Linked DNA regions of Macaca fascicularis. The main gene of each other region encodes a partner of the protein of the gene in region 5 in a complex. Links are inferred from orthologs where the notes say so. Each region holds a gene or a part of one and is shown on either strand. Other genes may lie near its edges.

Evidence for each region.
Region 1: MED16 (region 5) and MED26 share a complex: the UniProt entries of both Homo sapiens proteins name them as parts of the mediator complex. The link is inferred for Macaca fascicularis from reciprocal best matches to the Homo sapiens genes MED16 and MED26.
Region 2: MED16 (region 5) and MED8 share a complex: the UniProt entries of both Homo sapiens proteins name them as parts of the mediator complex. The link is inferred for Macaca fascicularis from reciprocal best matches to the Homo sapiens genes MED16 and MED8.
Region 3: MED16 (region 5) and MED23 share a complex: the UniProt entries of both Homo sapiens proteins name them as parts of the mediator complex. The link is inferred for Macaca fascicularis from reciprocal best matches to the Homo sapiens genes MED16 and MED23.
Region 4: MED16 (region 5) and MED31 share a complex: the UniProt entries of both Homo sapiens proteins name them as parts of the mediator complex. The link is inferred for Macaca fascicularis from reciprocal best matches to the Homo sapiens genes MED16 and MED31.
Region 6: MED16 (region 5) and MED4 share a complex: the UniProt entries of both Homo sapiens proteins name them as parts of the mediator complex. The link is inferred for Macaca fascicularis from reciprocal best matches to the Homo sapiens genes MED16 and MED4.
Region 7: MED16 (region 5) and MED19 share a complex: the UniProt entries of both Homo sapiens proteins name them as parts of the mediator complex. The link is inferred for Macaca fascicularis from reciprocal best matches to the Homo sapiens genes MED16 and MED19.

The regions. Positions count from the first base shown.
Region 1 is NC_088393.1:16,912,935-16,916,434, forward strand, and holds part of MED26 (mediator of RNA polymerase II transcription subunit 26), read right to left. Parts: intron 1,860-3,500; coding exon 1,785-1,859; intron 1,123-1,784; coding exon 1-1,122. UniProt on the Homo sapiens protein: Component of the Mediator complex, a coactivator involved in the regulated transcription of nearly all RNA polymerase II-dependent genes.
Region 2 is NC_088375.1:191,388,016-191,392,236, reverse strand, and holds the start of MED8 (mediator of RNA polymerase II transcription subunit 8), read right to left. Parts: upstream 2,801-4,221; 5' UTR 2,617-2,800; coding exon 2,261-2,616; intron 1,606-2,260; coding exon 1,461-1,605; intron 957-1,460; coding exon 816-956; intron 629-815; coding exon 547-628; intron 185-546; coding exon 1-184. Other genes in the region: KICSTOR complex protein SZT2, read left to right, coding at 3,919-3,945. UniProt on the Homo sapiens protein: Component of the Mediator complex, a coactivator involved in the regulated transcription of nearly all RNA polymerase II-dependent genes.
Region 3 is NC_088378.1:35,595,750-35,599,249, reverse strand, and holds part of MED23 (mediator of RNA polymerase II transcription subunit 23), read left to right. Parts: intron 1-2,023; coding exon 2,024-2,148; intron 2,149-3,500. UniProt on the Homo sapiens protein: Required for transcriptional activation subsequent to the assembly of the pre-initiation complex. Component of the Mediator complex, a coactivator involved in the regulated transcription of nearly all RNA polymerase II-dependent genes.
Region 4 is NC_088390.1:6,686,294-6,689,264, forward strand, and holds the end of MED31 (mediator of RNA polymerase II transcription subunit 31), read right to left. Parts: intron 1,833-2,971; coding exon 1,640-1,832; 3' UTR 501-1,639; downstream 1-500. Other genes in the region: TXNDC17 (thioredoxin domain-containing protein 17), read left to right, coding at 141-209. UniProt on the Homo sapiens protein: Component of the Mediator complex, a coactivator involved in the regulated transcription of nearly all RNA polymerase II-dependent genes.
Region 5 is NC_088393.1:1,454,786-1,458,979, reverse strand, and holds the start of MED16 (mediator of RNA polymerase II transcription subunit 16), read left to right. Parts: upstream 1-1,394; 5' UTR 1,395-1,496; intron 1,497-1,624; exon of another isoform or gene 1,625-2,279; intron 2,280-3,069; 5' UTR 3,070-3,087; coding exon 3,088-3,256; intron 3,257-3,979; coding exon 3,980-4,087; intron 4,088-4,194. UniProt on the Homo sapiens protein: Component of the Mediator complex, a coactivator involved in the regulated transcription of nearly all RNA polymerase II-dependent genes.
Region 6 is NC_088391.1:27,212,684-27,216,797, forward strand, and holds the start of MED4 (mediator of RNA polymerase II transcription subunit 4), read right to left. Parts: upstream 2,801-4,114; 5' UTR 2,775-2,800; coding exon 2,650-2,774; intron 1-2,649. UniProt on the Homo sapiens protein: Component of the Mediator complex, a coactivator involved in the regulated transcription of nearly all RNA polymerase II-dependent genes.
Region 7 is NC_088388.1:15,900,230-15,903,245, reverse strand, and holds the end of MED19 (mediator of RNA polymerase II transcription subunit 19), read right to left. Parts: intron 1,990-3,016; coding exon 1,733-1,989; intron 1,576-1,732; coding exon 1,479-1,575; intron 1,174-1,478; coding exon 1,079-1,173; intron 881-1,078; coding exon 812-880; 3' UTR 501-811; downstream 1-500. UniProt on the Homo sapiens protein: Component of the Mediator complex, a coactivator involved in the regulated transcription of nearly all RNA polymerase II-dependent genes.

The DNA.
Region 1 (3,500 bases), about 15 Mb from region 5:
CCGCTCTTTTAACCGGACAGGCTTGACGCCCGCCTCAGCCACCTGCCCGTCCAAGTTAACCGTGTAATCTCGAGGCCGGTACCTCTTCTTCTTTTTACTGTCCGAGCCCCCTGAGGAGGCAGCGTCACTGTCCGCCTTGGAGGAGTCTGGGGAGAAGCCCGCCCGGGACAGGAGGGGCTCGGCTGGGGACAGCCCTGCCTTGCAGCCCGGCCCCGCCAGCCGCTGGTGGCTTTCCGGCTGCTCAAGCCAGCGCACTGGGCTTTCCGCACTGGGCAGCAGCTCAAGCCGCCGTACAGGGGGTGTGGACGGCTGTGCCAGTGGAAGCGGTGACGGCACCTGTGTGGCATCGAGCGCCTGGGGCCGCGGTGAGGGGCTGGGCACGGAGCCCTTGGGTGCATACAAGCTCTGCTGCCGGGCAAAGGAGCCCTCATGCCGTGAGTTCCGAGGACTGAAAGAGCAGCGAGGGGGCCCCTTGGGGTGGGGAGGCCCCGGAGTCTCATCCACCCTGTCCAACTGCTGCAGCACCGAAGCCTTTGGCTGCAAGCAGGGTCCAGGGGGCTTGCCCAGGCCTGGGGAGCTGGTGTGCGGCCGCACAGCGTTGATGGGGATCTTGCCACTGTGCTTGTCGTTCTCGCCACGCTCCAGGCGGCCGCCCTCTGGGCCTGCATGCCCACTGCCATCCAGGGAGCCAGGGAAGCTCTCTGGACTCCCACTGATGCCATTGGTAGGGAGGGGGGATGAGTTGGGGACAAGGGGGTCGTGGCTAGCTTTGGAGACCTTAGGTGGTGGCCCTGGGTGGCCGAGGTCACGCTGGTCACCCCTGCGCTTGCGGCTGCCCAGCCTGTCCAGCCGCTGCCCGGGCAGCCTCTGGAGGTCATTGCGGCTCTTCAGGTCATGGATGCTCCTGGGCGGGCCAGCCGCCCCCACCTCCGGCCGGCAGTTGTGTGCACCCCCGTTGGCAGAGCCAGCGGCCCCCGCCAGCCCCCGCAGCGCTGCCTCATGCTGGTGCGCTGGCTCGATGAGCTTCTGCCAGCTCCGCAGCAGCTTCTTGGCCCGCTTGGCGAGCTCCTCGTTCTTGGTTTTCTTGCGGACGTCGTTGATGAGCTTCCCAAGTCGTGTTTCCTACAACCAGAAAGAGAGATGATGACATACTTTCGGGACAGGGACTTCCCCATGAGCTGAGCCAGAAATGGTGGGAAATGGCCCTGACAATGAAATGACCTGGTTCCCACTGAGCCCTAAACTGCCAGCCTCCCTGGCACAAAACTCCTGGGGATTTCCAGTCCTTTGTGACAATATAAATTCTCAAACCTAGTCCCCAGACCTTCAGAGTCCCAGGTGGCTTCTCAGCAGTGCTGTCCCGCAGGCTCCTGGTGCCAGGGGGCTGTCAAGGCCACTGTAAGGACACTGCCAGGGAGGCTTTCTGGATGAGAGGGTGCTGTGGCCAAGGCGGCAGCACAGAGGGTCTGCTTCAAGTGGAGGGTTGGGGACGGCGCCTCTCATTGGAGCCTCCCCCAAGCACACCTCTCCTGATGTCCCCATGTCCCCACATGCCCACGTGCCCATGAAGTGTGCTGGGCAGGTAGGATGGGATTAATGCCACTTGGTCACTGCAGTGGCCACAGGAGAGCAAGATCACGGGGCACAAGCTGTGAGGGCACACCGCCTCTCTTGGTCCTCTGAAGCAAAGACACACGCTCCTAGAAGCTGGGGAAGGAACTGGGTTGGTGCCGTCCCCTGTCCCCCATTCTGCACTCCCAAATGCTGGGGTCTGGGATACTCACCTCAAGTGCCTCTTTGGTAATGGGGTATTTCTCCAGGCTGGAGATGACTTCCAGCACCGCCACCATGTTCCGGATCTGTGGAAATAAAGAAAAAGCCATTTGTCAGGTTCCTGCCCTTCTCCCCTGGGAGGCAGGGACACGCTACCCCAGCCTGCTCCAGTCTCTCCCCAACCCCAGAGCAAGAGGAGCTGGCAGCACTGAAGCCCCCACTCCATGTAGTCTCCTAGCTGCTCCCCAGGCCAACCTGGCGCCCAGTGCTCATCCTCACCCGCTGTCCGACCTCCTCCAGTGTGTGGTGTGCGGTCTGCTCCAAACCCTCCAGTGTACATGGTACATATCCACCCACCTGCTGAAACCCAGGATGCTTGTGAAACAAGAGCTGCTCCTGATACTTAAAATGACCTCTACTCTGCCATCTGATGGGAGTGGGAGAGGAGACACTGAAGAATTCATCGAATAAAATCCACAAAGCTTAAAAGATCAATACATAGGCTGGGCGCGGGTGGCTCACGCCTGTGAATCCCAGCACTTTGGGAGGCCGACGAGGGCGGATCACGAGATCAGGAGTTTTGAGACCAGCCTGGCGAACACAGTGAAACCCCATCTGTACTAAAAATAAAAAAATTAGCTGGGTGTGCTGGCATGCGCCTGTAGTCCCAGCTACTCGGGAGGCTGAGGCATGAGAACTGCTTGAACCCGGGAGGCAGAGGTTGCAGTGAGCCAAGACCACGCCACTGCACTCCAGACTGGGTGACAGAGCGAGACTCCGTTAAAAAAAAAAAAATTCAATACATAATAAACCAGTCGATTTGAATCCAAAGACACCATAAAGAGAGCAGAAAGTCACAAAGTGGGAGAAGGCATAGACCACAAGCCCCAAGGAGCTGTATCTGGAACACACAGAGAATGCCTGTGCAGCAGTGCAGGTGACCAGGAACCCAGCGCACAGTGGCTACAAGACAGGAACAGGCACTGTGCAATGAAATGTCAGCGCTAATGCTCAGCTTCTCAGCTTTATCAATAATTAGGAAAACTCAAACTGAACCCACAAATGGATATATGATACACGCACCCCACTGACAATACTAGGTACTTCTGGGGGTACAGCCGACTTTGGGAACGGCTGGACTTTGTCTGGCAGAGTGAAACATGAACACAGCCTATGACCGAGTAATCCCACCCTTTTAGGATCTTGCTAGGAGCCACACCTTGTTCTAAGCACTTCCCACACATTACTAACTCCTTTAATTGTTAAAACAAGAATTCCTACCGCTCAACCGCCACCTCCAGCAGCTACAGGTTTCTGGTGGGCTGGCTGGCAGGCGGGAACCCAGGGGCCCTGAGGAAACCACAGTGAGTAGATTACACAACTCCCCCCCACCCCCACCCCAACATGATAAAGGAGTTAAGCAGGCACATGATACAAATTAAAACAGCGTAAAAGGGCACACAAGGAAATGGGCATCTCTGACCCAGCCACTGTAGCATTACCTTGCATTTTTTTCCAAAAATATCCCTTGTGTATGCAGGCGTATACATCTACACTTGTCACATATTTCAAAACCAAACTGACCGTGGTTCTTGCCTTTTCTGACTTAACATCAGCAATGTCCAGCCTCAAACAGAGCCCCTCATTTGGCTCACCATCCCTTCCAGAGTGGGGAAGGCCCGACTTGAATGTTGTGGGACACTTAGGCACTTTCTGTTCGCCATTAC
Region 2 (4,221 bases), on a different chromosome or scaffold from region 5:
GCCATCTGCACCTGCTGTAATCCTGAGGTTCCTGCAAGGATCGTCCCAGCTCCTGGCTGGCCTGGCTGGCCAGGACCACTGCTGCCTGAAGGTCTCCAGTTAGACAGTCCTTTCCCAAAGGCAACAGCTGCCACCAAGGCATTAGTGTCTGTAGGGTTAAAGGTCTGCTTGTTTGGCCGGAGACCTGAAGAAAAAGTAAGTGGGGATCCTGAAGTATGTTTCTGATGCAGGACTGAACGTGGCAGCTGGAAGACCAGTATGAGTGCCAGGGTTTAGAGTTCTGAATTCAGCAGCATCTAGACTCCCTCACAGCCCATAAAAAGAGCCAGAGGACCCCCAAGCCTATCTCAGAATTCTCTCTTCTTACTTTGCCCATTTCCTCCACTGCTTCAGGGTTGGCCTTAAATACAAAAGGCTAACAGAATGGATGCAAACCCTAAAGCAGTTCACTCTTGTGTCCTAACTTCACTACTCTCGAAACAACCATTCCCATTCCAGTGATCTTATATACCTCTCCTTCTCTGTTTTGCCACCAGTCCACCATACCTCCACTCTCTGATTCTCGCTCCTCTTTGCTGATTTTCTCCAGAAGGTTTGAACACATTTTATTCAAGCTCTGGATCTGCTTCTGTAACACACAAATTTGTGCAGAGATTAGGGTAACTAGGAAACGATATGGACAAATTTATTCCTTGGGTTCTGCCAGAAGCAGCTTAGGTGCAACCAACTATGCATCCCTACTAGACAGGAATGGTAATGCCTAGCTTCTCATGATGGGATGGGGATGGGGCAGCAAGGCAGTGACTCAGTCCAACCTGGGCTGCATCTGCACCAATGCGGGCAGCATCTGTCGTCAGTTGCTTCTCCTGTTCTTCCACCTCAGGGTCAGGCTTGGTTCTCAGATGGTCAGGGACTACCTCATGGCTGAAAACGGGCACCCGTCCTTCAGTCTGCCGCTGCAACACACAGATTTTATTGATCCTACTATGCACTCCAAGAAGATTCTATCTGGCCTGATATACAGTCCCATCCACAGGCAAACAGTGCATTTTCAAGGAAAATACAACCTAAGACATAATATCTAGTTTCCTAGGACACAATCTCCTTTACTCCAGCCTTCATTTTTTGTGTCTTCTCACATCCCTATCTCTACCAGACCTAGAGGCAAATTAAACTATCACTGTCTGCCACGTTTCAAAGACTGAAACAGACAAAGTCACCAAAGGGCAGACTTTGTGGCTTGAGACAGATGTTGGAGAAGGAAGGTACCAGCCTTGGTGACATACCCCTCAGGTTATTACAACACTATTTGGGAGTGGCTCTCCCACCTTCAGAAGAACAAAAAGCAAGGCCTCCAAAATTATTTCTAAGTTCTCAGCTAAGAACTTAATTTCCCTAAATAGTAAAGAAGCCTAAAAAACTCCTTAATTTCCCAAGTTGTATTCTTTTTCTGCTCTTACCATGAGATCTTCATCTCGGTCTGGAGACAACACCAGAGGGATGATGACCTGGTTACGGAACAGCGGTGTTTTTTCATGCTTCAAGACCTTGTTCAGAGTGTTCAACTGTCCAGAAAGCAAGGCAAAGCTGTCCAGGACAGATGGCCTGTTGGCAGTAAGCAGGTGTCAGAATGTTCCACCCCTTCCTTGGGTGGTTCTTAGTAAAATAGTCCTAGTTCCTTCAGGCTAGGAACACTCGGATTTATCCCCAAAAGTCTCATAGCCCTATGACTAGCCTAAGTGGGAAGAAACTAACAAGGATGACAGGGTTATGAAAGAGGGACATAGTTTCAGTTTATGAAACAGATGTAGAAAAAATCCAGTTCATTGTTTGAATGAGGTGAGGAACAGTGGCAAAATAGGACTATACTGTTATAACTAAAACTTCAGAAACCCGGTAAAATCCTTCTTTCCAGCCTGGAAATAGGATCCACACTTCAGAGTAGGTTGGATCTAAAGGACTCAGCCATATTTGTGGCAAGAGATCCAGCACAAATAGAGCTGTAATAGGAGGACCTCCTCACCAGAGAAGTCAAAGGGTAAGAATTGAAAGCTATAATGAACTTGGGTTAGGAAACCGAGCATTTCTCTACTTCCTTGCCATGGAAGCCACTTGCTAAATGTTACGAAACCCAGCTCTTTCCAAATCAAAAGATGTTTGTAAACTGATAAATGGTTACATCATTAGAAGTGTCCTATTCATCAGAAGGCTAGGCCCCCCCACCCATAAGCCCTCCCTAGCTTGCCCTGGCAACCCTTACCAGGTCAGCCGGCCATACTCGTTCTCCAACTTGCAAATGAAACTTCCCAGTGAGTTCTTCAGATCAGCCACTTGACTCAGCAGTGCATCTAATGATGCCTCAAGCTGCTTCTCCTCTCTCTGCACCAATAGGAACAGGTTGGTTACCCAGATAAACGAGTATGACACATAGAAAGGAGGGCTGAAAAGCCAAGGAGATGGTGTGCAAACACCAGTCAGGTAACAGGATCTCATTGGCATAGGATAACCAGGTTGTTTCCTATCTGTGGTATTTGGGTTATAGACAGCATCAACCCTGAGACCTTTCAACCGTTTGCCTGACCCAAGTACTTCCACCAACTGATTCCTTTTTCCCATCCGCTCCTAATCTATGCCTGGTTTTTCTCTGTATTAGGTACACCCTACACTCCCTCATTGAGACATTTTCGACAAACCTAATGCCAGATCATTATCTCATGTGCACCTCTGTAGCACATGCACTCCAGCTTCCTCCATCCTAGCATTTGTGAGCCTGGCTCTCTTGTCAGTCTCTGGGAAATCTGCCTACTCATGAAGACTTCTCTGAATACCAGCCCTGCTCTCCTCTTTCCCTCCCCCCACCAACCACTCCAGCTTTCCATCTGCTCTCATCATTTCATGTTTCAACCTTCTCCTCGCTGAATTAATATGCACCCATCTATCTCTGTGTCAATATTCCCGTGCCTCTTTCACAAGCTCGGTCAACCCAATAACATTTCTTGAGACTACCAGCTGCAGGAAACTAAGTGACAAATGAAAACCAAAACCGCACATGCTTCTAAGCACTGAACAAACAAATTAAAATGCCGGGGGTCTGCAAAGCATTTCCTTCCCATCGGTGGTATCCTGTTTTATTCCATTTCTTCACCCTTAACAACTATAGGGCACAGGCTGGGAAGAGTGATGCAAAACTGTCTTGCAAACCTGCTAAGGTGCCTGACAGGAACTTGATCCTGGGTTCCACCATGGCCTCACATTACAAGCTGCTTAGCTTTCGGACACCGCGGCCCACAATTCCCTCACTGCTTGGGCTTCTTTCCAATTAGATCCCCTGCTATATCGGCATCCAACAGCCTCCATCCAGCAGCTTAGGACAGGGCCTGAGCCAACCCACCACCTCCTGAGCCGTCTTCCTTGGACTGCATCTCGGCCTCCCCGTATTACAACCTAATCCTTTCCCACGCCAAGCAAGTCAGTGCTGCCTCCTCCCTCCGGATTTAGCCCGACCGCCTTCTGTCAGGCGAGCTCCACCCCCACCTCTCATCTGCGCCGCTCCCTCTCCAATTAACCTCGCCCCCCAACCCACGTTCCCTTATCAGCCGTGGGTTCTGCCCTCTTTTCTCAGTCCCAACTCTTCATTCTCCTTAGCCAGCCCACTCTGGCTCCCTGTAGCCGAAGCTGGCCAGCCGCTAGCACTCCCAACGCGGCTCTCACCTGCATTGCGGCGGCCGAGGCGACTGCAACGATTTCCACTTCCGGTTTCCTGTCAGCAAACGCCTCTGAGAAGGCTTCGTCCACCAATCAGAAAACTGGAACTCGGCCCTCCCACCCACTTCCTGTTCCTTCCGGGTGCCGAGGTAGCCAGGTCAGGGGTCAAGAGTGGAACACACGGGCCCGGGCCGGCGCGGGAGGGCTTGTGTGATGGCCTCGGAGCGCCCCGAGCCGGAGGTGAGGGGCGGGCGGACGCAGCACTGGGCCCTGAGATCCGAGGGGGAGGGTCCGGCGGGCAGGCGTGGCGTTGGCCTCCTCTGGGTCTGGGGGTGGCCGGGCTGCGTAGCCTCGGCAGGGACCAGCCCAGCCCGGAAGGCCCGACTATGGTACCCCTGCGGACTATGGGACGCGGTCTGCAGTTTCCTCGGGGAGCTAAAGGAGTAACTCTTTTTGCTTTGTTTTGTTTACTGACGTGTCATCCGCGTCGTCAACTCTTTGACCTAATGATAGTGG
Region 3 (3,500 bases), on a different chromosome or scaffold from region 5:
TTAATCCCATACTTCTTGCAGGCTTTGTTCATTTCTTCTTCTTCTTTTTTCTTTTGGTTTCTCTTCTCGCTTCATTTCATTCATTTGATCCTCAATTGCTGATACTCTTTCTTCCAGTTGATCGAGTCGGTTACTGAAGCTTGTGCATTTGTCACGTATTTCTCGTGTCATGGTTTTCATCTCTTTCATTTCGTTTATGACCTTCTCTGCATTAATTACTCTAGCTATCAATTCTTCCACTTTTTTTTCAAGATTTTTAGTTTCTTTGCGCTGGGTACGTAATTCCTCCTTTAGCTCTGAGAAGTTTGATGGACTGAAGCCTTCTTCTCTCATCTCGTCAAAGTCATTCTCCGTCCAGCTTTGATCCATTGCTGGCGATGAGCTGCACTCCTTTGCCGGGGGAGATGCGCTCTTATTTTTTGAATTTCCAGCTTTTCTGCCCTGCTTTTTCCCCATCTTTGTGGTTTTATCTGCCTCTGGTCTTTGATGATGGTGACGTACTGATGGGGTTTTGGTGTAGGTGTCCTTCCTGTTTGATAGTTTTCCTTCTAACAGTCAGGACCCTCAGCTGTAGGTCTGTTGGAGATTGCTTGAGGTCCACTCCAGACCCTGTTTGCCTGGGTATCAGCAGCAGAGGCTGCAGAAGATAGAATATTGCTGAACAGCAAGTGTACCTGTCTGATTCTTGCTTTGGAAGCTTCCTCTCAGGGGTGTACTCCACCCTGTGAGGTGTGGGGTGTCAGACTGCCCCTAGTGGGGGATGTCTCCCAGTTAGGCTACTCGGGGTCAGGGACCCACTTGAGCAGGCAGTCTGTCCCTTCTCAGATCTCAGCCTCCGTGTTGGGAGATCCACTGCTCTCTTCAAAGCTGTCAGACAGAGTCGTTTGCGTCTGCAGAGGTTTCTGCTGCTTTTCTTACTTGTTTTTTAAATAGCAACGTAATATTCCATTGTATGGCTGTACCTTCCTCCATTTAACCAATCTTCTACTGACTCTTAAGTTTCTTCTTAACTTTTTCTCATTTAACCAGTGCTGTGATGAATAATATTATGCCTGAAAAATAGGATAAATTCCTAGAAATAGTATTGCTGAGTCAAAAGCCTTACTGGTTTGTAAGTTTTATAGAAATTATTAAATTTTCCACAAGGGTTATACTAGTTTATACTTCCACCAGCAGTGTTTGAGAGTATCTTTTTATTATAACCTCACAATAGAGTGTTAAGCTTTTTGATCTTTGCTGATCAAAAACATGAGAAATTTTATCTCAGTATAATTTTATTTTGCATTTCTCAGTGATGTTGAACATCTTTCCAAAATTTTTTTAAAAAATTCATTAAACACTTTATAAATTATGATGTGGCCCTCTAATGGAGAAACCAGGAAGAAAATAGGTATTTCCAAATCATTGTTATATGTGCCACAATAGAAGTATGTATGAGAACAGTGGTCATGGAGAGAAGCAGAACATTATAGGCTCTTTTTGGAGATATCCTAGAAGATAAACTTTGATACAGCACAACATTTGACATCATATTTAAAGTTTTGCAAGTCTAGAAATGTGACATGTCATTAGATTCATAATGGGCTCTTCTTTAGGCTCTTAGGGATTAGATTCACACCTAATTCTCATAAGGCTGATACATACTGATCCATAATGAATTTTACTCCCAGTGACAGTAATATTTATATATGCCATAAAGGGCAATGTTTACAATGCCTTACAATGATCTGTGTTAAGAGTTTTCTATTGACCATTGATATGTTAGTTAATTAATACTTTTGAAGGTCCCATGTAATAAAAAGGTAGCATTTTATCTATATAATTGCAAAATTTTAAGCTTAATGTGACAAATACTAAATCTGAACATTTTAATTTTCCTTTTTTAAAAAATTATTTTCATCCACAGATGCTCATAGTGAAGTATTTCATTCATAGTATTGGTATACTTCCAGTTGTAGTATTAGCTATTTCTTATAAAAATGTAACTTTAGACCCCAAATAAAATCATTCTCTAATTTTCCAGGAGTCTCATGAACAGTGTATCCAGTGGATTGTTAAGTTTATTCATGGTCAGCATAGTCCTAAAAGAATTTCTTTTCTTTATGACTGCTTAGCAATGGCAGTTGAGACTGGTCTCCTTCCACCCAGGTACGTTTAATGGGTATGAGCAATCTGACGAATTTTCTTTTCTATATGTGATTGGAAATTGGTTGAGGTTGTTGTTGTGAAAAGATAAGAGAATGAAGAAGAAAGTGAGGTTCATCAAGTAATCCTTTATATAATACCTCAGGTTTTAGTTTTTAGGAGTCATAATCTTTGAATTATATAATGCTTGTGGGCTCAAAATCAGATGTTTCTGCCCAGGTGCTGAGATTAATCTCTTTGATTAGTTTGTAACACTTTACTTTTGCTGCATAACCTCAACACCTCATGGCTTAAAACAATAATACTCAGGTTTTAAAATTATTCATGGTTTTGGTGGTTGACTGGGCTTAAGAGGCACTTTTTCCTCAAGGTCTTAATGATTAATGATCGATGTAGCTGGGGCTGGAGCATGGCAAAAGCTTCCCCACTCAGATATCTGGTGGTTAGTTCCTGGCTGTCATCTGGAACCTCAGCTGAGATTATTAGCCAGAACCTCCACAGGCCCTCGCCTTGTGGCCTGAACTTTCTCACCTCATGGTGGAGCCTAACAGCAAGTGTGCAAAAGAGGGCTAGACAGAAATTGTGTCACCTTGTCTTAGAAGTCATACTGCATTCTTTCGGCCATAGTCTTAGGTCTGCCCACATCTAAGGAGTGAGAACATAGACTTTCCCCCTACCTCTCCTTGGGAGAAATGTCAGTGTCACATTTCAGAAGAAGATGTGGGATCAAAAATCTTGTTGCCACCCTCTTGGAAAAATCCAGTGTACCACAAGGTGATAGATGGTAAACATGTAACTGAAAGCTCCAGATACACTTCTTTCTAGTAAAATATAACGTAGTGAATATTATTTCATTCTTACTTTGTTTTTGATCTTTCATACAAGTAAAGAATGTAAAATGCTATACATATTTATAAGTGTACTTAGTAATAATGCACTTTTATGAAAGATATTTGAGAGGATAAATATAATACAGTCCATAGACTATGGCTATATTAGTCTGTCTCATGCTGCTAACAGAGACATACCTGAGACTGGGTAATTTATAAAGGAAAGAAGTTTAATTGACTCACAGTTCGGCATGGCTAGGGAGGCCTCAGGAAACTTAGAATCATGGCAAAAGGCACCTCATCACACAGGGCGGCGGGAGAGAGAATGGGTGCCCAACGAAGGGGGAATCCCCATGTGAAACCGTTAGATCTTGTGAGAACTAACTCACTATCATGAGAACAGGATCGGGGAAACTGTCCCCCATGATTTAAGTGGTTTTACTCATGACACATGGAGATTATGGGAACTACAATTCAAGATGAGATTTGTGTGAGTACACAGCCAAACCATATTGGTGGCTATTA
Region 4 (2,971 bases), on a different chromosome or scaffold from region 5:
AAACTTGTTATAACTAGTTGATAGTTTCTGAATTGCATAATTTCTGTGTTCAAAGATTAGTGTCATTCAAGGCAGAACCTATTCCACTCCTAATAACGTTTTATAGGAGTAGTGAAGATTTGACTGTTCTTCTCTTACAGCCTCAAAAACTGGTAGAATCTGAGTGTCTTCAGGCCAACCTGGTGGAAATGTTGTTCTCTGAAGATTAAGATTTTATGATGGCAATCATGTCTTGATTTCCTGATTTGTTCTAGTATCAATAAACTGTATATTGCTTTGAATACATGTTAGCAATAAATGAGGTTAAAAAACTGGCATGTGTCTAAACAGTAGAGTGCTATTAAAATGCCCATGAACCTTTAGTTTGCCTGTAATATATGGATATTTTTAAGATATAAACAAGTCTTCAGAAGTAGCAGTAAAGGCTCAAAGGAATGTATCATTGAAGGTGACGGAAATACCTAAAAACTCCTAAAGGCGCAGAGCACACCTTCCAAATCTTTCAAAAGATCAGGATCTTTTATTTTAAATTATCTGCATCTGCAAAGCAACTGATATTCCTGAAACCCCTTCTTTGATTTTGGAACGTAGAACCTAACCTCACCACTGAAGGAAGCATATTACCTCTAATCCAGCCTCTGCTTAATTCAGGCAGTTTTGTTTTGTTCATGAAGAAACCGATCCTGAGCACTAGAGGCAGTTCGTTTTGCGGCTCTCTCAATGTGCTTTACTTGGGATTAGGCAGGTGGCGGAGAGGGGCTGGAAAGACTGTGTAACCCAGTGGTGGGAAGAACTCCAAGCTGGAGTCAGTCACACTGATTCTACCACTTACTAGCTGTGTAACCACAGGCAAGTTACCCGCCCCATCCAAACCTCAGTTTTCTCTTCTGTAAACAAGGTTCTGAGAATAAAATGAGAATTCAAGGAAGCACTTAACATAGCACCTGGTATGTGGTACCTCCCAAATCAATGTTAGTTTTCCCAAATGAGCACAAGTATTTGAGGCTCCTCATGTTTGTTCTAAAGTCAAGAGTCCAATTAGTAATTAACCACTAGTTGTCCTGCCATGACTAGGTCAAATGAGGCCACAGTGATTCTTAAAGCCACCTTGCAAAGCAGGTAATACAGGGATTTCCTGTCCTGCAGAATTTGAGAACCTTTATGCAGTTCCTATCCTGTGATTTCAAGAGGTCACTGACTCCGCTACTCTCACTACATAGATAAGAGTGGTAGAGTAGTTGATCTGAGAGACAGTAAGGTTCCAGGAGATGGCCTTGCGCTACTATATGTCAGGAAGAGCTAGCCTTAGAATTCAGTATACTTGGTGGCCCACCCCTACCCCATGCCCCAGTGCCTCATTTGGTCTAAAGCACCTAACTTTTCCATTCTTAATCAGCTGACTATGCTAAATGCATACAAAAGAAAACACCTTACAAATCCACAGGGAAATCAAAGTAGACCAATTCAGGTTTAAAAGAAATAGTCTATTAACAATAAAAAGTTGGATTAAAAAGCACACTAAAGGTTCTAGGGGCTACCATAATAAAGGTAGATAGGAAGAGTTTTCATTTTTTGTCTTCACTGTACAAAAGAAATACATTATATACATGTATTGAGAGCCTCATCTGTATCCGGTTTTTCATTTTCCCGATGTGTTATTTTGCTGTTGCTGCTCTGCCAAGGCTTGCTGAAGGCGCATCCGCTTCCGGGAATAGTGCTGCCAATGTAGAATCTGCTGTTCATCAATGAATTTCGCACACTGAGCATTCACCAGCTCCTTTCGGAAGTGTTCGTATTGGAGCAGCTCTAACATGTGTAAACACTGAGGGTACCTGGGTTTAAGTTTATAAGTAAATGAACAACATAATTTAAGTAAATAATGCCAAGGTCTAATTAAGTTATTCTCTTAAAAATGATCTTGTAGCCTACCATTTCTTTAACTTAGTACACACTGGCAGCATAGGGTGTTTTCCCTGATTGGTCATCAAAGGTCAGTGTTCAGCAATATTTTCGAAAGTGAGAAGGTTTAAGTTCAGAAAGATTAAATTTAAACTTGCTCAGGACCACACAACACAGTAACTGGTAAGCAGAGTGAAAATGTAGGGACAAACCATGCTATTCCCTTCTAGTGGTTTCCAACGTGAAGAACATGAACATATTTTACTAATTCTGTGTTTAATTGATAGTTCTTTGTTTTTCCATCAATAGTGATAAAAAGACAACTTTCATTTAAAAGTGAGTTGGTTTGAAAGAGAACTATGCACATACATTATACTCTTCTTGTCCACAGGGATATACCAACTCTGAAATTAGATATACTCTAGGATTGGACAAGTAAATATACTGTGGATAAGGACAGCCAAATTTCGACAAGGAAAGGAAAAAGGCTAGAATGAATCCTGTGTTACTGAGCTGGTATTGAAAACATTAGTATGTACTTAGGGCTTTTAATATAGGTAGACAGGATAAACAGATGTATACATGTGTGCATGGATACACATACAAACATAGAGTTCTTGAGCTTTGTGTACTGAGAGGGCCTAGAAGCAATGACACTGTGGTACTAATGAACACACAATGTCCAGATTGTGGTATCCAAGGAGCAGGTTTCCTTGGAGAAAAGGGTGATTCAGGGATAAGAGAGGGAAAGTACAAGATGAGCCTGGAACATTACGTAGTGCCAGAAGAAAAAGTGCTAAAAATTATTGGGACGATCAAAAGTATTCAGGAACCAACTTGAAGGGACTCCCAATGGCCAAATCTAGAATACTCAGAGCAAGAAAATACATAATTCTAATTCACAGGATAAAATACTAAATGGATGTAAATTTCTTTAATAAAATAATAAATAGAAAACAAGGGAATGTACTGCCTTACAATCGAATTCCAAACTAATAAATGCAGAATGACAGAATTCGAAAATCACCACAGTAAAAAATGTTTCAAACAAATATCTTCAAAAGATGCTAAA
Region 5 (4,194 bases):
TCCTGTCTCAAAAAAAATAAAAATAAAAACGGAAGAGCACAACATCCATTGCATTAAACTGGCTTTTGGAGGAGGAGGTGGGAATGGGGTTGGAAGTAGGAATACTCAACGGGGTCCGTGACTTCGCTTACAGGAGCCTCAGTTTCCCCACTCTCGGACATTAGAAAATGGAAGAGGGGGAGGGATTGCATTGGGAGTTATACCTGATGTAAATGACGAGTTGATGGGTGCTGACGAGTTGATGGGTGCAGCACGCCAACATGGCACAAGTATACATATGTAACAAACCTGCACGTTATGCACATGTACCCCAGAACTTAAAGTACAATAAAAATAAATAAATTAATTAAAAAAAAAAAAAGAGGCCGGGCGCGGTGGCTCAAGCCTGTAATCCCAGCACTTTGGGAGGCCGAGGCGGGTGGATCATGAGGTCAGGAGATCGAGACTATCCTGGCTAACATGGTGAAACCCCGTCTCTACTAAAAATACAAAAAAAAACTAGCCGGGCGTGGTGGCGGGCGCCTGTAGTCTCAGCTACTTGGGAGGCTGAGGCGGGAGAATGGCGTGAACCCGGGAGGTGGAGCTTGCAGTGAGCCGAGATCACGCCACTGCACTCCAGCCTGGGAGACACAGCGAGACTCCGTCTCAGAAAAAAAAAAAAAAAGAAAGAAAGAAAGAAAATGGAAGAAAGCCTGGGCAAGGGGGCTCACGCTTGTAATCCCAGCACTCTGGGAGGCCGAGACGGGCGGATCAGGAGGTCAGGAGATCGAGACCACCCTGGCCAACGTGGTGAAACCCCGTCTATACCAAAAAATACAAAAATTAGCCGGGCGTGGTGGCGGGAGCCTGTAGTCCCAGTTACTCGGGAGGCTGAGGCAGGAGGATTGCTTGAACCCAGGAGGCGGAGGTTACAACGAGCCAAGATCGCGCCATTGCATTCCAGCCTGGGCAACAGAGCGAGACTCCGTTTTGGGGGGAAGAAATAAAGGACAAAAATATGGAACGCTTCACGAATTTGCGTGTCATCCTTGCGCAGGGGCCATGCTAATCTTCTCTGTATCGTTCCAATTTTAGTATATGTGCTGCCGAAGCGAGCACGACCCGTTGGGTCTACCACCAGCTATTTATAGTCCCCGGAGGAAATTTCTTTACACATACGGCGACTTGTCTCCACTGCTCTAGAGATTCAACCTCTATTTGTATTAGTCCAATGTGTCACGCAACTAACGCAGTTATTAACTGGAGTTGAGAAAGTGCTCGTTATTCTACCAAATATAGCTACAGTGGCTGCTGGGAATTACTGGAAATGCTCGTATGCAAATATCCCCGGAAGCGGGGCGGAGCCTGAGCCGCACCGCCCTCCCAGAAGTCTTTGGGAGGCGGCGGCGCGACTCAGGCGACTGGTTGGTGCCGGGGAAGATGGCCGCGCCTTAGCCGAGGCGCTAGGGAAGTTCGCATAGCGGACGCCCGCTGGGCTTGGTGCACGGGCCGGCCAGGTGAGTGCAGGGCTGCGGGGGCCCGGCGAGGGCGGACGGACCCCTTACCGTGTCACTGGACCCCAGGGAACGCGGCGCGGGTGTGGCGGGCCCTGCGGGGTCAGGGGGCGTGGCCGGGAGCAAAGGCTGCTGGGTAGGCGGCCCGGGGCTCCGGGTTTGCGGCGGAAACTCGCGGGAGGCCTGAGGCCCGCGGGGCGGGGGTCGGGGCGGGGCCTAAGGAGAGTTTGGGGCGGGGTTGAAGGCGCTTGGTTGGATTGTGGGGGGGGGCCTGGAGAGGGAATAGTGTCCCTGGGGTGGAGCCTGGGGACTGGGGGTCTGTAGAGGCAGGGCCTGGAGACTGGGGGTTATCGGTACGGGGCCTGGAGAGGGAATAGGGTCCCTGGGGTGGAGACTGGGGACTGCGGATTTATAGGGGTCTGGAGAGGGTATAGGGTCTCTGGAGATCGGGGGTTATAGGGGCGGTTCCTGGAGAGGCTGAGGCGTCCCTGGGATGAAGCCTGGTAGTTGGGGTTATAGGGGCAGGACCTGGAGAGGTTCTGGGGTCCCTAGGGTGGAACCCGGAGATTTGGGGTTATGGGGGCGGGGCCGGGAGAGGCTACGGGTCCCTAGGATGAAGCCTGGTGTTTGGAGGCGGTAGGGGAAGGGCCTGGAGAGTACATGGGGTCCCCGGAGTGGAGTCTGGGGACTGGGGAGTCTTAGGGGTGAGGCCTGGAGAGCTGGGGGCATTGGAGGCTGGACCTGAACAGTACATGGGACCCCTACGGTGAAGCCAGAGAATTTCGGGTGAGGCCGTAGGCTCAAGGGGTGAATTGAAGTGTGGGAAGCAAAGAGTATCAGCGGCGGGGCTGAAAGACTTTTAGGGGCTTGCGGCGGATCCTTGGGGGTCTGGGGCAGACCCTGAAGAAGTAGGGGGCTGGAGTTAGGGCTTGAGGAAAATGGGGCTGGTGGTCATTCCAGTCTCACTGGGCTTTTGCCTCTGAAGCAAAACAGCCTCCAGATGTCAGGTGCTTAGAAAACCCCGAGGAAATGCTCCCTCTGTTCCCTGTCACACTCAGCCCCCGCCTCGGCCACAGGCATTCCCTGTCACACTCAGCAAGCCCCTTAGCCCCAGCACGCCTGCCCCGCCTTGGCCACAGGGAACCACCCTACTGCTTGCCTGTCTGTGGGTTCTTCCTTCGGGAGAGACCCAGGGTCCGCCTGCCGCCCCCATCATCACTCACCTGGGCCAGTGCAGACCCTCCGCCGCATCTGTCAGCTGTGCCCTTGGCCCCCATGGTCCCTTCCCCAGACAGCCAGAGGGGTCCTGGTGAAACCCAAATAGGTCCCAGCCCTCCCGGGCTCCCACCTTGCTGAGGGTAGAAGCCCACCAGCCCAGGACTGGCCCTGACCTCTCCACGTTCCCCCTCGGCCCCAGCCCCATGGACAGCCGGGAACGCCCAGGCTCTGTCTCGCCTCTGGGCCTTTGCATCTGCCGTTCCCTCCACCGCAGGCCTCCATCGTTTACCCACTTCCGGCCTGGCATGCCCTGGGTGCTCAGCCAACATAGCTGACCCGCCACACCTCCCTCCCGCAGGAGCTGGTGACTGCCCTCATGTGTGACTTGCGGCGGCCAGCGGCAGGTGGGATGATGGACTTGGCCTACGTCTGTGAGTGGGAGAAATGGTCCAAGAGCACCCACTGCCCGTCGGTGCCCCTGGCCTGCGCCTGGTCTTGCCGAAATCTCATCGCCTTCACCATGGACCTGCGCAGCGACGACCAGGGTGTGTCCCCCCCGCCACCCGCTTCCCCTCCCGGCCGCACGGTGTCCTGCCCTGTTCCCCAGGTGCCCGGCACGCTGCCACGCGGGGACTCGGTCTCTCAGGCCTCCCCTCACTCTTCCCCAGCCCTCCTCTGTAACTTGGGTGAGAGCCTCAGCCTTCTGGGGGTACAGAGGGTGGATTCAGTGCTCCCCAAACCTGGGGCCGGGAGACATGAGATCGCCCCGTGTGTGGGATCGAGTGGGGCTGGGGCGGTGGTTGACGGAGGCTTGTTGGAGACACGTGCCCCAGTTTTCCAGACAGCATGTGTCACTGTTTGGTTTTTGAAAGGTACGTGGTGGCTATGCCCATCTTCTCTCCATTGTTCGAGTAATAGGCACTCATAATAGGTGGTCATTAGAGAAAATTAGAAAACCACAGAAAATTGGAATCAAATCAGGGCGATAAAAGGCCCCCATTACCTGCTGTGGAGAGGCTCCCACTGTTCATGTTTTGGGGTCATTTTCTTCTAATCTGGTTTTAAAGACATGGTCATGGCGCCTCACGGGCCTGCTCAGTTCCTGCGGGGGGACAGCCCGTTCCCTGAGCTGTCGACCCGACTGACAGCAGCTCTGTGACCTCCCCGGGGTGGGACACGCACTGGCTTCCCTGGAGCCTGCCCAGGGTCATCATCCTCGCCTCCAGGCCATGGCGCCAGGCCGTGCTGACCATGTCCCGTCCCCACAGATCTGACCCGTATGATCCACATCCTGGACACAGAGCACCCCTGGGACCTGCACTCCATCCCCTCAGACCACCGCGAGGCCATCACCTGCCTGGAGTGGGATCAGTCAGGTGAGGCCCCGGTCCCACGTGGCTGGGGGCGGCGACCCGGATCCCGGAGCAGGGGGCCCGTGTTCCCCAGTCAGTCTGGAGTCCGGCGCTGGGTCTGGAGCCCCTGG
Region 6 (4,114 bases), on a different chromosome or scaffold from region 5:
ACTGGGGAGAGGAAAGCAAAGTGAGGATATAGCAGCCAGGTGGCTAGGGGTAAGATTATGTAGGACCTTACAGTTATGGTAAAGATTAATGTTTCGTTCCATATTCAATGAAAAGCCACTGGATCATTTTAAACAGGGAAAAGGCATGACCTGATTTACACTTTTAAAAACTGCTGAGCGATTTGGTAAATAGACTGTAAAAGGGCCAGAACAGGTGGTTTTTGTAGTGTTCCAGGCAAAAAATGACTGGTTTTGACTAGGTCATAGCCTCCAGGACTTAGTAATGGTGATGGGAGAAACATAGACAGATTTCAGATATCTTTTGGAGGTAGAGCTATCAGGACTTGCTGATGGATCAACAGTGTATGAAAACAGCATGTTACGTAAACTTTTTCGTGTATGCCACTGAGACACAAACTGTTGAGAACCTCTAGTCTAAGTAAAAGCTGGTTTCAGGTGGGGCAGGGGTGGTGCTGACTGGAGTGGGGCTATGGTAGGAGATGTGGGATAAGCCTTCCTCTGTTCTTGCAAATCTGGGAGTATGAGTCCACAGAAGGCTTTACAAGGCTTGCCATAGGCACAGGAGTACAGGTGAGGTAGAAGTCTCTGACACAGGAGTAGAGGGGAGGTAGAAGTCTCTAAGACTTAGTCATGTTCTGTAACAGTCCAAGACGAAGTAGAAACCTCTGTCCTCCCCATTTGTGAAAAAGAGGCCAAAGGAAGGCCCATACTCACTCTCTGGTTAAAGATGTGGAAGTAAGAGCCCTGTCCTGCTACAAGGAAGGTGCATTCCTGGCATACTGCATTAGAATCCAGCCACAATTCCCCATAGAAATAAAATTTCCATAGGGGTTAGAGCCTACATTATTAGTGGTAATACACTTTTCAGGTAAAGAGAATTAACAGGCTGGTGTGGAAACCTCAAGACTCCTATCAACATGATTCCGTGAGTTTTCAGTTACAAACGGGTTAAGAAAAACGTTTAGACTACAACCTGTGTTTCAATTGTTTAAGACTGTCTCCTTGCATTACATTTTACAAAGTAATAAATATCCTGAAAGGGTACATAATCAGGTTAATAGAAAAAAAAAAAAGATCCTAAGTTATAAATCCACTATTTTTTAAAGCCAAGAGGCTCAACCTAAAAATATGTAAGGTACATTCGTGAATTTTCTTCTCATTTCCATAAATGCAAGCCAGACACAAATTACATTCAGAGACTGACAAATTACACAGATCACAGAATCAGCACACATAACTATGTCTGAGTGAGCACATGAGACTTTTCTGGAAGCCAGTCACACCACCAGAGCAGCTTCATTCTGTGAAGAAATTCCAATGATCCGCTCGCCTCGGCCTCCCAAAGTGTTGGGATTACAGGCGTGAGCCACCACACCCGGCCATAATACAGTTTATTTTAAACAGTGGATCAAACACATAAGTCATTTAATTTCTGGAGTCTATTTGTTTTAGGGTTTTCTTCCATCATTAAATATTGTGCTGACCTGGTAACTTGGTAGCAATACTATGGCAAGGACTAAATTTACACCAAAGATAAAGTGCTGATTATATCAGGTATATTTTAAAATACAACAGATAAGATTTATTCTAAAGTTGTCAAAGAATGTTGGCTACAGAAAAAGTGACATTTGGGCTGGAATCTGAAGGATATATGAATCATTCACCAAATCGGGGGAAGATTGGGAATGGCATTGAAGATGTGGAAGCCTGACTAAAGAATTTGAACTTTACCTCACTGGACAACGCAAATCTACCAATGAGGTAGGTTTTATATCATTTTTCTGCAGAAAAGTAATATAACATGCCTTTTAAAACTGATCTTGGCCAATATAAAAGGATACAGTGCAGAAGCATGAGGCAATTAAAACTGGGAGGCTGCATTTAAGAGTAGTTATGAACAGTGGGGTAGGAACGAGAGGACAAATGTGAGCAACATTTTAGGAGGTAGAACCAAGATAATTTACCATCCACGTCAATGGGAGGGAGTCAAGGAAGGCTTCAACTTGACTTATCATGAAAGGTGACAGAATATAAAGAATGACATTTAATTTCATCTCCTATCTCTGATACAAAACTTGCAACTCCACCAAGCCAGGCTTTTTGCACTTGCTGTTCCATCTACCTGTGCTGCCTAGTGAGTCTGGCAAGCTCACGCTTCCCAAACAGCCGTTTCTTCAGAGGGCCTGCCCTGATTACAACCAGAAAAGGTGCCTAGCCCCTGTGCTCCAGTACCCCGCAGCGCAGCGCTCTAATAAAAACAGGCTTCAAGGCAGTTTACACATCTGTCTCTCTCTCTCGACAGCCGGCATTCAGCCTACCCTGCACTACTGTCTCCCTAGTGCTTGGCACCCAAGGGGCGTTCCATAAATGTTAAGTGGCTGGCTGTGGACGAAGGGGCTCAGACCGCGCGAGTTCTTATCATTACTAAAATTCCCTCTAACGGGAAAAACCGCCGTCCAGAGTGCTGGAAGACTGCGGACCCCACGTCCGTGACCCTGGTGCACCCGAAACTCCCGAGCTGGCCCTCCCCGCCGAACCCCGAGAACGAGCACAAACGCTGGGCCGGCCGGCTCCGGGGGTCAGTCCCCCGGCCTAGCTCCAGCCCGGCTCTCAGGATCGCAGCATTACCTAGACAGGACCTCCAAATCCTCAAGCGCAGACAGTAGCCGCTCTCGTGTGCTGTTACCACTTGCCACTCCCAAGCCGCCTCCCAGCCTCTCTTTCTCCTTCTCACCACTCGAAGACGCAGCCATTTTCCTCACAGCCCCGCCGCCGGCGCACGCGCTGAGCGCGCTGACGCAGGGGCGTGGCGAGGAGGCGGGCTCGGAAGGCGGAAGAGTCATCCAGGAGAGGAAGAAGAGGCCCGGCGAGGGCGCCCCCTTTGCGCCCGGAGGGGCGCACTGCGGGCACCGGCGCCATCTGCTGGGCCAGCGAGGGCTTTTGGGTCCAAACCCTGGGAGCAAGGGCTGAACTGAGAACAGGGAGTGCAATGCAGTCTGATTCTCCTGGGCCTAATGTTTTGTTTTTTCTTTCTTTTCCTTCCTTCCGCAGTCTGATTCTCCTGGGCCTAATGTTTTGTTTTTTCTTTCTTTCTTTCCCTCCCTCCCTCCCTCCCTCCCTCCCTCCCTCCCTCCCTCCCTTCCTTCCTTCCTTCCTTCCTTCCTTCCTTCCTTCCTTCCTTCCTTCCTTCCTTCCTTCCGTCTTTCCTCTTTTTTTGAGACGAGTCTCGCTCTGTTGCCCAGACTGGAGTGCATTGTCGCAATCTCGGCTGACTACAACCTCCGCCTCTCGGGTTCAAGATATTCTCCTGCCTCAGTCTACCGAATAGCTAAGATTACAGGCGTGTGCCACCTCGCCCGGCTAATTTTTGTATTTTTAGTACAGACAGGGTTTCGCTATGTTGGCGAGGCTGGTCTCGAACTCCTGACTTCAATAGATCTGCCCACCTCGGCCTCCCAAAGTGCTGAGATTATAGACGTGAGCCACCGTGCCCGGCCCTGGGCATGATGTTTTTCAAGCAGCAATGAGAAGCTTCTATGAAGTGGTTTTTAAGACTTTGAGGGAATCACATAATGGTCTACATTATTATAAAAGACGGTCGGGGACTGCCTGACTCCCATGAGGCAGTCGTACCTGTGGTCCTTTCATTTCATGGTCTCATCCTCTGCTCTTTTTGGAGGTGCTAAACTTGACTCCTGGGCACCCAGAGTTGACAAGTCTTTCAGAAATTCGTGTTAAATAAACTCACTCATAGCGGCCCTGCGCGGTGGCTCAAGCCTGTAATCCCAGCACTTTGGGAGGCCGAGATGGGCGGATCACGAGGTCAGGAGATCGAGACTATCCTGGCTAACACGGTGAAACCCCGTCTCTACTAAAAAATACAAGAAACTAGCCGGGCAAGGTGGCAGGCGCCTGTAGTCCCAGCTACTCGGGAGGCTGAGGCAGGAGAATGGTGTAAATCCGGGAGGCGGAGCTTGCAGTGAGCTGAGATCCGGCCACTGCACTCCAGCCTGGGCGACAGAGCAAGACTCCGTCTCAAAGATAAATAAATAAATTAATTAATTAATTAATTCACTCATAGCAACGGCTGTGT
Region 7 (3,016 bases), on a different chromosome or scaffold from region 5:
TTACATTTTGTTGCTGTTTTAGAAATGTTTTCACATCAGCTAAGTAACTTTATTGTCTTAACTAAGGAGTGAAGCAGGTCAAAAGTTATTGTAAAGAAAAGAGAAGCATTTACCTTTGCTTGCCAGAAGTTCATTTCAAAAGATCACAGGCTTCTGACCTAAGAAACCAATCTTGTTGAAATACATGGGTGACTGTCCATGTGTTTTCAGTTGGCTATTCTGTTTCAACACAAAATTGACCTAGAATACACTGTTGAGCCCTACCTGGATCAGCTCTTCAGATGGAGCCTGAGATCACCCAGGCGCCTGGTTCTTAACATAACGGGCAGAGTGTTCTGTGTCTGCTGTGGAGTATTAGTAAGCTTGGGTCATTTTTCATTTTGGTTGGTTCCCTGCATAATGTAACAACAAGACCCAAATCCCCTCAAGTCTTAGCAATGCCTTGTCTTAAATCCTGACTCACAGAACATACCTCTTAACAGCAGTCACACTTCAGCCAATTTGATAAATGTAATTTTTTTTTAAGAAAAAACAGAACAAGTCCTAAATCAGACAAATTGCACAACAGAGAGAGAAGAAAATTGTAAGCTTCCTGGGAGATGTCCATGAGAAAACCAACTGGGATGAGCCTACAAAAGCATGTCCCTCTCTCTCCTAATGTACTTAGTCTCAACTGAGCCCAACAGGAGCTGGTCTCTGTCCCAGCTGCAGGATGCTCCCAAGGCAGTGTCCAAGAGCCTGGAAGGCAGCTTTTGTCAGCAGGTTCAGTACAGCAGGAAAAGCCATCCTGGCAAAGAGTCCAGTGGTCCTGTTAGCGTAGGCTGCTGCTGCTGCTGGCTTGGGAGCTGCCCATACCTGGGTGGTCTGGACTATGCCGGTTCTGGGAGAGAAAGAAGGAGGGGTAAGAACAACTAGGAACTAGCCTTGGCTTTGATCAGGCTGTACAGGAGAAACCTGTAACCTGCCTTGGGTTTTCAATTGTGGGTCCAACTTGAGGCAAAGAACTATTTAGGGTATTTAGGACAGGGGTGAGATCTAGGGAAAATCACTGGGTTGTGGCAATAGGCCTCTACTCTACCTTCTTTTTCTTCTTCTCTTTCTTCTTCCTTTTCCGTTCAGGATCCTCTTCTTTTTTCTTTTTCTTCTTCTTGTGATCTGAATCAGATGGTGTTTCTGTAGGAGACATTAGGTACCTATCACCCATAAAGCTCAAAATCCTCTACTGTTATGAACCACTGAAGACTACAGGAAAATCCCAAGTCGGGGCAACTGCTTTTGTCCAAATGGCCAAAAAGGATACAGAGGTGCTGCTACAGTCCCTGTCCCAAGTCCCAAGAGACCACAGTACACTGGTTTCTTCTTCAGGGGAATTTAGGAGTCCAGAGCTCCATACTGAACTTAACTGGGTTTACCTATGGAAGTTCAAACCAGATTCAGGTCAGGTTTTTTTTTTTGGTTTGAATAGAACTGCTTCTTACCTGGGGGGACAGGATCCTGGGTACGGCTCTGTTTGTGCTTGTGCTTATTCTTCTTCTTGGGAGGCTGAATATGCATCAGACGACACTGCTCTGGCAACTGAAGGAACCAAAGGAAGGTCCAGGTGAGTAGAGGGAGGAAATCTCTCCTGCTCCTATCATCCGTTCTGCTCCATTATGAAGGAACAGACTTGGACAGAAAAACCATCTCCATGTTTAGGCCTCCCCATTTGCCTTCTTCCTCCAACAGGACTCACCGGGCCAGTGTGGAGGCGGAAGCCGGCCAGCATGGTCCCTGTGATAGGATTAAAAGAGCTACTGAGAATAGGGGGCTTCTCAATGAGAGAGCGGAGGCTGCTGTTATCATGGGAACCAGGCAAATCAATCATCCCTGGCAGGTCAGGCAGGAAGTTACTTAGCTTCTCCTTCACCTTCTTCCCACAGAATTTATTATAGGCTTGTTCCAAGTTGTAGTGTGTGATCAGATTCGTGCTGCCCGTCAGCTCTGTGCTACCTAGACAACGCAGAATAAAAATAAAAAAGATCAGTCTTCAAAGTAGACCCAGGGAGTGAAGGACTATATATTAACCTAAATAAGGAATTTTTAAGTGCAGATTTTAAAATTTAAAATTTATTTTTAAAGAAACAGAGCAGGCCAGTCACGGTGGCTCTTGCCTGTAATCCCAGAACTTTGGGAGGCCGAGGCAGGCGGATCATGAGGTCAGGAGATTGAGACCATCCTGGCTAACACGGTGAAGGCCTGTCTCTACTAAAAATACAAAAAATTAGTTGGGTGTGGTAGTGCGTACCTGTAGTCCCAGCTATTTAGGAGGCTGAGGCAGGAGAATCACTTGAACCCAGGAGGTGGAGGTTGCAGTGAGCTGAGATTGCGCCACTGCACTCCAGCCTGGGCGACAGTGACACTCTGTCTCAGAAAAAAAAAAGAAAAAAACAGCAAAAGTAAATAACATGAAAAATACAATACAACACAATGGTAGCTTCCAATGGGAAGGGGAAAAACAGGCAAAAATCCAATAGGGCAGAGACAGGAACTGCTCTAGCCCAATGAAGGAGACACTCCAATCTCTCAGATTAACTAGAGTTGATTTACATGGTGCTTCTTGCTTCACGGTAAATGCTGTTCTGAGCGCTTCTCATAAAATGTACTAGTGAAAATTACATTCTCTGACACAGCCAGGAAAATACGACCTCACAGCTTAGCTACAACCATGCTAAGGGGACCAAATATGACCCAGTGACTTAAGGGTCTTGTCAAGGACATTTTTTTGTACTAGCAAGAAACACTAATCACCTTTACATAAGAAAAGAACCGGGAGATTTTTCTAGCTACCACCGCCTAAATTGTTACCAACATCTTTATTCTTCCTCATGATATTGAGTATGATGCCTTGCCTAAAAGGAATAAATGTTTTTTGTTTTTGATACGGGAGTTTTGCTCTGTTGCCCAGGCTGGAGTGCAGTGGCACGATCTTGGCTCACTGCAACCTCCACCTCCCGGGTTCAAGTGATTCTCCCACCTC